Linked DNA regions of Oryctolagus cuniculus. The protein of the gene in region 2 purifies or fractionates together with the protein of the main gene of each other region. This does not show direct contact. Links are inferred from orthologs where the notes say so. Each region holds a gene or a part of one and is shown on either strand. Other genes may lie near its edges.

Evidence for each region. The genes of interacting proteins can lie anywhere in the genome.
Region 1: the proteins of CFAP20 (region 2) and CLASRP purify together in Homo sapiens (affinity purification with mass spectrometry; 3 studies listed by BioGRID and IntAct, counting the BioPlex papers as one, with this or other methods). This does not show direct contact. The link is inferred for Oryctolagus cuniculus from reciprocal best matches to the Homo sapiens genes CFAP20 and CLASRP.

Annotation. Positions count from the first base shown.
Region 1 is NC_091449.1:11,670,449-11,674,017, forward strand, and holds part of CLASRP (CLK4-associating serine/arginine rich protein), read right to left. Parts: intron 2,847-3,569; coding exon 2,749-2,846; intron 2,298-2,748; coding exon 2,196-2,297; intron 1,928-2,195; coding exon 1,848-1,927; intron 280-1,847; coding exon 195-279; intron 1-194. UniProt on the Homo sapiens protein: Probably functions as an alternative splicing regulator. May regulate the mRNA splicing of genes such as CLK1. May act by regulating members of the CLK kinase family.
Region 2 is NC_091449.1:41,503,677-41,507,867, forward strand, and holds the start of CFAP20 (cilia- and flagella-associated protein 20), read right to left. Parts: upstream 2,841-4,191; 5' UTR 2,535-2,840; coding exon 2,451-2,534; intron 1,923-2,450; exon of another isoform or gene 1-1,922. UniProt on the Homo sapiens protein: Cilium- and flagellum-specific protein that plays a role in axonemal structure organization and motility. Microtubule inner protein (MIP) part of the dynein-decorated doublet microtubules (DMTs) in cilia axoneme, which is required for motile cilia beating.

The sequences.
Region 1 (3,569 bases), about 30 Mb from region 2:
GCCTCCCAGCTCGCTGTGCACAAACCCCGCGGTCCAGCCGTCCAGCCACCTCCTCCACTAAGCACTGATTCGCTGCGTACCCACTGCAGGCCCAACACTGCCCTCAGCTCGCGGGGTCCGAGAAGCGGCGGACAGAGCGCCGAGGAGCCAGGCCCGCGTGCCGCCCCGCCCCCTGCCGCCCCGCCCCCACTCACTTCTTCTTCTCCTCCTCGCTGGGTCTCTGGAGGCCCCCGTACAACTCGTCGATGTAGATCTGGTACAGGCACTGCTCCTCGGAGACTGCAGCGAGCAGAGGACCGAGTTGAGAGCGGGCTGGGGGCGCTCGTGGGTCACCAAAGTCTGTCGGGTGGCAGTGACGTCCTGGCCAACCACTGACTCCACCCGTGCCCACCCTCCTTTCCGGGCAGAGCGAGTGCCCTGTACTGGGCACTGCCACCGGCGCCGCCGTCAGGGAGGCCGTGCGCCAGAACCTCGAACGTGCTCTGAGTGCCGCCTGTCACTTGGACGCCACAGGCTGCTCCGTGAGTGCCTCGTGTGGTGAGGGATGAGCTGGGCTCCCTAAATTCCCACAACCACCCGGGCGAGCTCAACGCCGTGGCACGGCCTCCTCTGGCCTGGGGGGCTGTGAGAAGCGTGTCCCTGACGTCGGCTGGGACGCTGGTGAGCACCCTTCCCCCCAGGCCCTGGGCGTTCCTCTGGGACCTGAGGCAGCCGTGCTGGCCCGCTCAGGGATGCAGTCCTCCTGGCTTCCAGCCGCGCTGGCCCGCCCCACGCGCGCTCCCGGGCTCTCTGCCTTTGATCTGCCCTGTAGTGTGCTGGTCCCCCCTCCCCTCCCCCTCCCCCCAGCTACCCTCCAGACCCCAGCTGCGGTCACTATCTGTCGTGACACCACCTTGGCGTGTGATTGATTGCCATCGCTGGTGTGATTAGGTGGCCCTCCCCCGCAAAGCCCAGCCCCCAGGACGCTTCCTGACACACCAAGGGAGTGCTGCACGGCACGTGGGAGGGGACGCAGGACACAGACACCTGGCTCCACCACCAAGAACCGCTGCGGCCTTGAGTGACGACAAACTACAGCACTGTTCATGACCAGCTTCCCCTCGCCACGGCCTCACTGAGGGCTAGAATCTGGCCCTCTCTGATCTTAGAGACGCAAAAGCACCTATCCTAGAAACAAAACCAATCACAGCGCCACTGCAGCGGCCGCCGGGGTTCTACACGCCCCACCTCTCTGCACCCTGCCGAGGCCCAGGATAGAGCCAGCGGCCCCGGCGCCCGCAGGCAGTGCTGCTGCCTTGGCTCCCCACAGACGTCCTGAGAGGCGCCAGCCCCGTTCCTGAGTCGGGAGCTGCCGTCAGAGGACAGAGGGGCGGACCCCAGCTCCCGGGATGCTTTCAACCTCCACATCCTTATCTGCCAACGGGCCATCGCCCCCCCCCCCCCCCCGGCCGTGCAGGTGCAGGTGCAGGTGCAGTAGGGTAATACAGACAAGCCAGCCCTGGTGCGGCGTGGCCTGACATCCCTGCAGGAGGCCGGGCCGGGGGCGCTCTCTCTGAGCCCGCCCTGCTCACTGGGGGAGGGGGGGCATCGGCAAGGAGGCCAGGCCCGCGATGCTCACCAATGCTTAGCAAACTGCCAGACACGGTACAAACGTCCCGTTTGAAACCAGTGCTCGCTCAGAGCCGACAGTCTGGTCCGTGCCAGCAAGGGAAAATACGCAGAAAGAAAAAAAGGACGGGAACTCGAGGCCCTGCAGAGGGAGCCCCTGATAAAACGTCTTCCCACACTCACGGCGGTCTCTGGCGGCCGAGGGACCCCGCGCACGCCCGGCCCGCCCAGGCACTCACTGCCAGCGAAGTCGTTCTGCACCAGGCCTCGGTAGCGCTCGTAGTTGCACTTCCGCTCGTCTGACTCCTGCTCAGGGGAGCTTCAGGGGAGGTCAAGGCCTTGAGGTCAGAGGGAGGAGGTGACCGCACCCCACACCAACAGGAAACAGGATGAGGCAGCCGGGGAAGGCTCGGGCAGGGCGGGGGTGGGGGTCACCCTGAGCCTCAACTTCCCCAGTGGGAGGGGCGTCTTCCCCACCACACACACCTCCTTCCTAGGAAGGTGGCGGGCGGGCGGCCGGCAGAAAGAGGGCGAGGGCGGCAGGCGTGACGCCCGGCCCGGCATCCCGGGGGGCGGGGGCGGCTTACATGGTGGTGAGCAGAGGGGGCGTGTAGTCGGGGATGTGGTCCAGGTGGGCGCGGACATCGAAGCGGTCGATCATGTTGTTGGTGTCTCCCTGCCAGGGCATCCTGAAGCGGGCAGGGGTGGAGTGGGGGGTCAGAGCTCGGGGCCCCACTGCCCGGGACACAGAGTGCCTGTCCCCGCCACCACACTCGGGAGCCCCAGTTTCGGTCCCCCATGCTGAAGCCACAGCCTCCGGGCTGCAACAGGCCACCCGTCTGACAGCTCCTGGAGAGACCCGGGGCCCACCCCAGGGGCTACTGCTAGGAGCCCCCATCCTCCTGAAACTTCCTCCCGCCCTCTCTGGGTCACTGGCTTTGGCCCCGCCCATTCCCCTGGAGCTCCTCCAACCCAAGCCCTGCCCACCCACTCGGCTCAGCCTCTGTGCCCATCACCTTCACTGCAGGTCCAGCCTTCCTTACCTCTGGGCCCCAGGGTCCCTGCCCCAGGCCCACCCCCCCCACCCCCCCACCCCGGTCCTCCAAGTGCAGATGCCGCCACGCCCCCGGTGCCTCTCACATGTTAACGGGGCTCTCGGCAGCCAGGGCAACTGCAGAATCCAGGTGCACCTTGCACGCCCGGCCGTGCACCTGCAGGAACTGGGCTGGGTCCTTTTTCTGTGGGGGCGGACAGGATGGAGGTCACCATCCAACTGAGGGGCCAGCTTCACCCCCACCAAGCTTCACGGTGAGCTCCCCTCTGCCCTCAGGCGGGCACCCTGCACTCGCCAGCCAACGCAGGCAGCACAGCACCAGTGGGGCTAGCCCCAGGAGACGGAGACGAGGAGTCGCTTCCTCTCGGAGGCGGAGGCCCCGCGCTCAGCCCAGTGTCCCCACGGCCAGCACCGCGCCTCCCCACTACACCATCCTCTGGTCTCCGCTGCTGCCCCCACCGCCCCCGCCTCCTCTTCGGGCTGGATCAGCCACACAGCAAGGCTGCAAAGGCACAGGACGAGACGAGCAACCAGCAGCGCCCGGGAAACACCGTCCAGGACCACCAGACGCCACCGCCGCACCCCGACGATGACGACGGCGGAAACCGAACGGACAAACAGTAAGGACTGACAAGAATGTGGGAGACTGAGATCTCCAGCAAGTTAGACCAAGTGGTGAGTGTCCAGCCCAGTAAAGACCTGCCCAGGACGCCCGTGCCACACCCCGCAGCGGCTGGGTCTCAGTGCTGGCTCCGGCTCCTGGCCACAGTAGCGTGGCTGCTCAAGAAATTTTTTTTTTTTAAGATTTATTTATGTACTTGAAAAGCAGAGTTACAGAGAGGCAGAGGCGGGAGGGGAGGGGAAGGAAAGGTCTTCCATCCGCTGGTTCACTCCCCAGATGGCCGCA
Region 2 (4,191 bases):
CCGAGGCACCACAGCAAGCGGCTACAGCAGGAGCTAATGATGCTCACGCTGTCTGGCGACAAAGGAATTTCTGTTCTCCCAGAGTCAGACAACCTTGGCAAGTGGACAGGAACCACCCATGGAGCAGCCGGCACAGCAGACCTGAGGGTGCAAGCTCTCGTGGAGTTCCCCAGTGGCTACCCTTAGAAGGCGCCCACGGCGAAGCTCCTCACGCCCTGCTACCACCCCAACGTGGACACGCAGGGGAACTCTGCCTGGACATCCCAAAGGACATGACATGAGGACCACCCTGCTCTCCATCCGGAGCCCGCTGGGCGAGCCCCACATCGACAGCCCTTCGAACACACACACCGCGGAGCTCTGGAGAAACCCCACGGCTTTTAAGAAGCACCTGCAAGGAACCCACCTGGAGCAGGTCTCCAGCCAAGCCCCTGGACCCGGCCGCCCAGCTCCCCCTGCGCTGTCGTCTCTCCTGGTTCCTCCTGAGACGTCTGTCCTGTTCCTGATCTCTGGACTGGACTCTCTCTTGAGCTGTGGTGTTATTTTTTTTTTTTAAATTAAATACATACATTTTGGTTGTTTTTGTAAAAACATTTTTCAATCCAGTCTGAATAAGAAGAGGAGAAACTGGTAACTTCTACTGTGAGGATTCTGCTTACAATTCCTTCATCAGGTTTCTGTTGCTGAAACGCCTGTTTAATTTACTCCCTGTCACCCTGCCCTTGCACATAACAGTGTTTTCACGCCTGTTTATGTCATCAGGGTACCGTCAGACCTCTAGTGGTGTTGTTAAGAGACAAGAAGCACCATGGTTACTTTGCTTCTAGATTCCGAGTGTAAACATGCTGACTAGTCAAAAAGCGCATGTGGAAAATAAGACCCAGCAGGTCAAGCACAGAAGGGCTCAAACTGGCAACCCCGGCACGTTCACCAATCCCAAGGGCTCCTACGTGGCATTCTTTCAGTGCTAGTAAGTCCCTGGCCTGCTCCGGAAACCTCTCCTCCTAGGTCAAGCCCCATTCTCTGTTTCAATTGCCTAATACTGATCTTCATATCAGAATGCAGTTGTGGAATTCAACTGGCACGCACGGCTGCTCTCTGCACGCCTTCCCATAGCCCCTGACTGACTCAGCAGGAGCTGAGAAGCCCTCGTCCCTGTGGAGTTCCCAGGTACACTCGCTCGGGGTTCTCTCAGCTTTATTCCATTGAGAACAAAACCTCAACACTAAAACTCTCGGGAACAGAGTGAAGAGTGAAACAGTGTCTTCCTGTGCTCTAGCTGTGGACAGTACAATCGTGCGAAAGCCGTGGGTCAGATTTTCCACAGCGGCAAAGGCCCGGCCTCCTGCTGTTCGGTCTTCCAACCGTCTTCAGCACACCGCACTAGGAACACAGCACCCTCCGAGCTGCCTCAGAGCAGGGCTGCGCGCGACGACGGGCAGAGGCTGTTCACGTCCCCCCAACCCTGGCCGCGGCCCAGAGCGCTCACCTGTGGCGACAGGACGTGAGATGCATCCCGGAATTCCTGGCTTCCTGACCACTACACTGCTGCTTTAGGCTGCTGCCCTGAATCGCTGCACAAACACCATTCAGCCTACTCCTCTGCCTCTCCCCTGAGGACAGTACCAAGGAACAGTCCTTAAGCCACCTGGCGCCCACACAAGGTGCCTTCCTGAACTTATATTCAATAAACGGTACGGGCTGACGGCCGAGAACTTTCATGACAAACGAAGAACCGAAGCCACGAGGTGCAGAGCAACGCAGAGCCAGCTGGATCTTACTTAGCCGCTCCTGGAGCCCCGGGACTGCCTAGTGGGTGCCTGACTTCAGACAACAGGCTGGCACCTGGATCCGAGCTCACTGATCCGGACAAGCCCTTGTCATCACCATGCAGTTTACCCCAAGCACAAACTGGGCAAGGAAGGCGCGGTACGGACCCCTGGTTACGCAGAGCGTGGAGCAGGTGCACAGGCCACGATTTCTAGCTCGTTTGGGATCAGCGGGAGAGACGGAGCAAATGAATGAAACCCAAGCACCCGGCGCCTCCACAAGGGAGACGCACGCGAACAAGGGCCCTGTGTCCAGCGCCGAGCACCGTGCCTGGCACCAAACAGCGTTATCAGTAAAACCTCGTGGAAGCCGCATCCTTTCCTCTTTCCAGCTCCAAAGCTCCCTCACGGAAGCTCACGCATTTCACGCTATGAGGCGGGCACCAGCGACCCCACCATACTGAGGGGGATCCGTGGCCCCCAAGGATTGGGCGAGTGAAGTTTTCGGCGAGGGCCCGCTGTCCCAGGTACGCTGCAGCCGCAGGACACGGCCTCTCCCGCCACGCCCACCGCACGTGCACCCACTCTGGGTCGGGGCACAGCAGCGGCTGCCCGCCCCGGGCCCTCGGCTGAGCGGGCGCGGCCCGGCTCCCCGCCCAGCTGTCCCCGCCGGCCCCTGACCTTTTTGTCCCAGATCTGCAGGGGTTTGCTGCCGATGCTGTAGAGGATGGAGAGGAAGCCGCTCTGGAACGTGTTTTTGAACATCTCGCCGGCGGCCTTCCCCTCCGCCGCCCGAAGCCAAACTAGGCCTCGGAGGTAGAGACGAGCGCTGAGTAGCCAAGGGAAAGCAGGGAGCCCGCCCTACTCCAAAGAGACGCTGAGCGCCCGCTCTCCCGACCTGCAGCCACCCACGGCTGAACAAGGACACACGATACTCCCACAACACCACCCCCACACGGAAACCACAGCAACCGCCGCCCGCGCCGCTTCCCAGGAATAAATGGAGGCGGAGGGCCGCTCGCCGCGGGAAATGAATCCCTCCGCCCAAGTGAGCCCGCCTCCCGGAAGCGCGAGACCCAATCCAGCCACAGGAATCACAAACTTCCGGTGCCTTCCTCCCTTAAACCCCGCCCTAGCCCCGCCCCTTTGATAAAAGAACTCCGTTGCCAAGGGACTATTTTTTTCCATCTTCGTTCCACAGCTGCTTTTACCGCGGAAAGAGACGGAAGATGAAAAAACTTGTTGTTAGCACCTGCGCGGTGTCAAGGGAACGTGGCTGCGGGCGAGGCGAGGGGCGCGAAGGGGAGAGGACTGAAACGAACTGCTCAGCGGGTGCTCACCTGGGTGACCTGGGAATGCCAAGTCCATGCCTGTTGACTAAGCACAGATTAAAGGCAGCAAGAGTGTGGAGAACTCAGTGCACTAAGCGCTTCTTACCCTTCAGTTCCTAAGAGCCGCAGTGCAGTCAAAACAATACTCTGAGGAAAATGGATGGCCTTAAATGTGATTAGAAAACATAACAGCCTGCACATTAAGATAAAAGCAGAAATTAAACAAAATGAAGTTAGTTGGTTGAATTGAACCAACGGCTAATGTTTTAAAGAAACAGTCAACACTTAGCAACATTTCAGAAAAGACATAAAATAAGCTGTGAGAATTTAAGTGTGGAAGGAATCTCAAAAGTTGGAGCCTTCCCCCGTTACTGAATATCTTTCTAAATATGATCTGGTGTGCCTAAGCCTGGGTTAGGTGGTGTGGCTAATGGAAAAGCGATTTATAGATAACACCATCATCGTTACGGCGGTTTTCTTTTTGTAATCAATTACAAGAGTAAATCCAGTATGAACTATGTGTCAGGCACTAAAATAAATGCCTTTGCCTTTATTATTAACTCTTTTAATCCTGAATAATCAAGCCAGAGTCTCCAGGCACAGGGGGGAAATATGTGAATCTTAAAAAAAAAAAAAAAGATTTATTTATTTATTTGAAAGGCAGAGTTACAGAGACAGAGGCAGAAAGAGAGAGAGAGAGAGAGAGAGAGAGAGAGAGAGAGAGAGAGAGAGGTCTTCCATGCGATAGTTCACTCCCCAGATGACCACAATGGCTGGAACTGCGCCGATCCGAAGCCAGGAGCTAGGAGCTTCCTCCGGGTCTCCCACGCCTGTGCAGGGACCCAAGCACTTGGGCCATCGTCTACTGCTTTGCCAGGCCACAGCAGAGAGCTGGATGGGAAGTGAAACAACAGCTGGACCTTGAACCAGCATCCATATGGGATGCCGGCACTGCAGGCGGTGGCTTTACCTGCCTACACCACAACGCCGGTCCCATGTGTGACTCTTACTAGAGAGACCAAAATGTGTATATAAAACCGAATTTTGGATATGGATTCAGTGAAATAACTCATAATCAGGAAATAATGAAC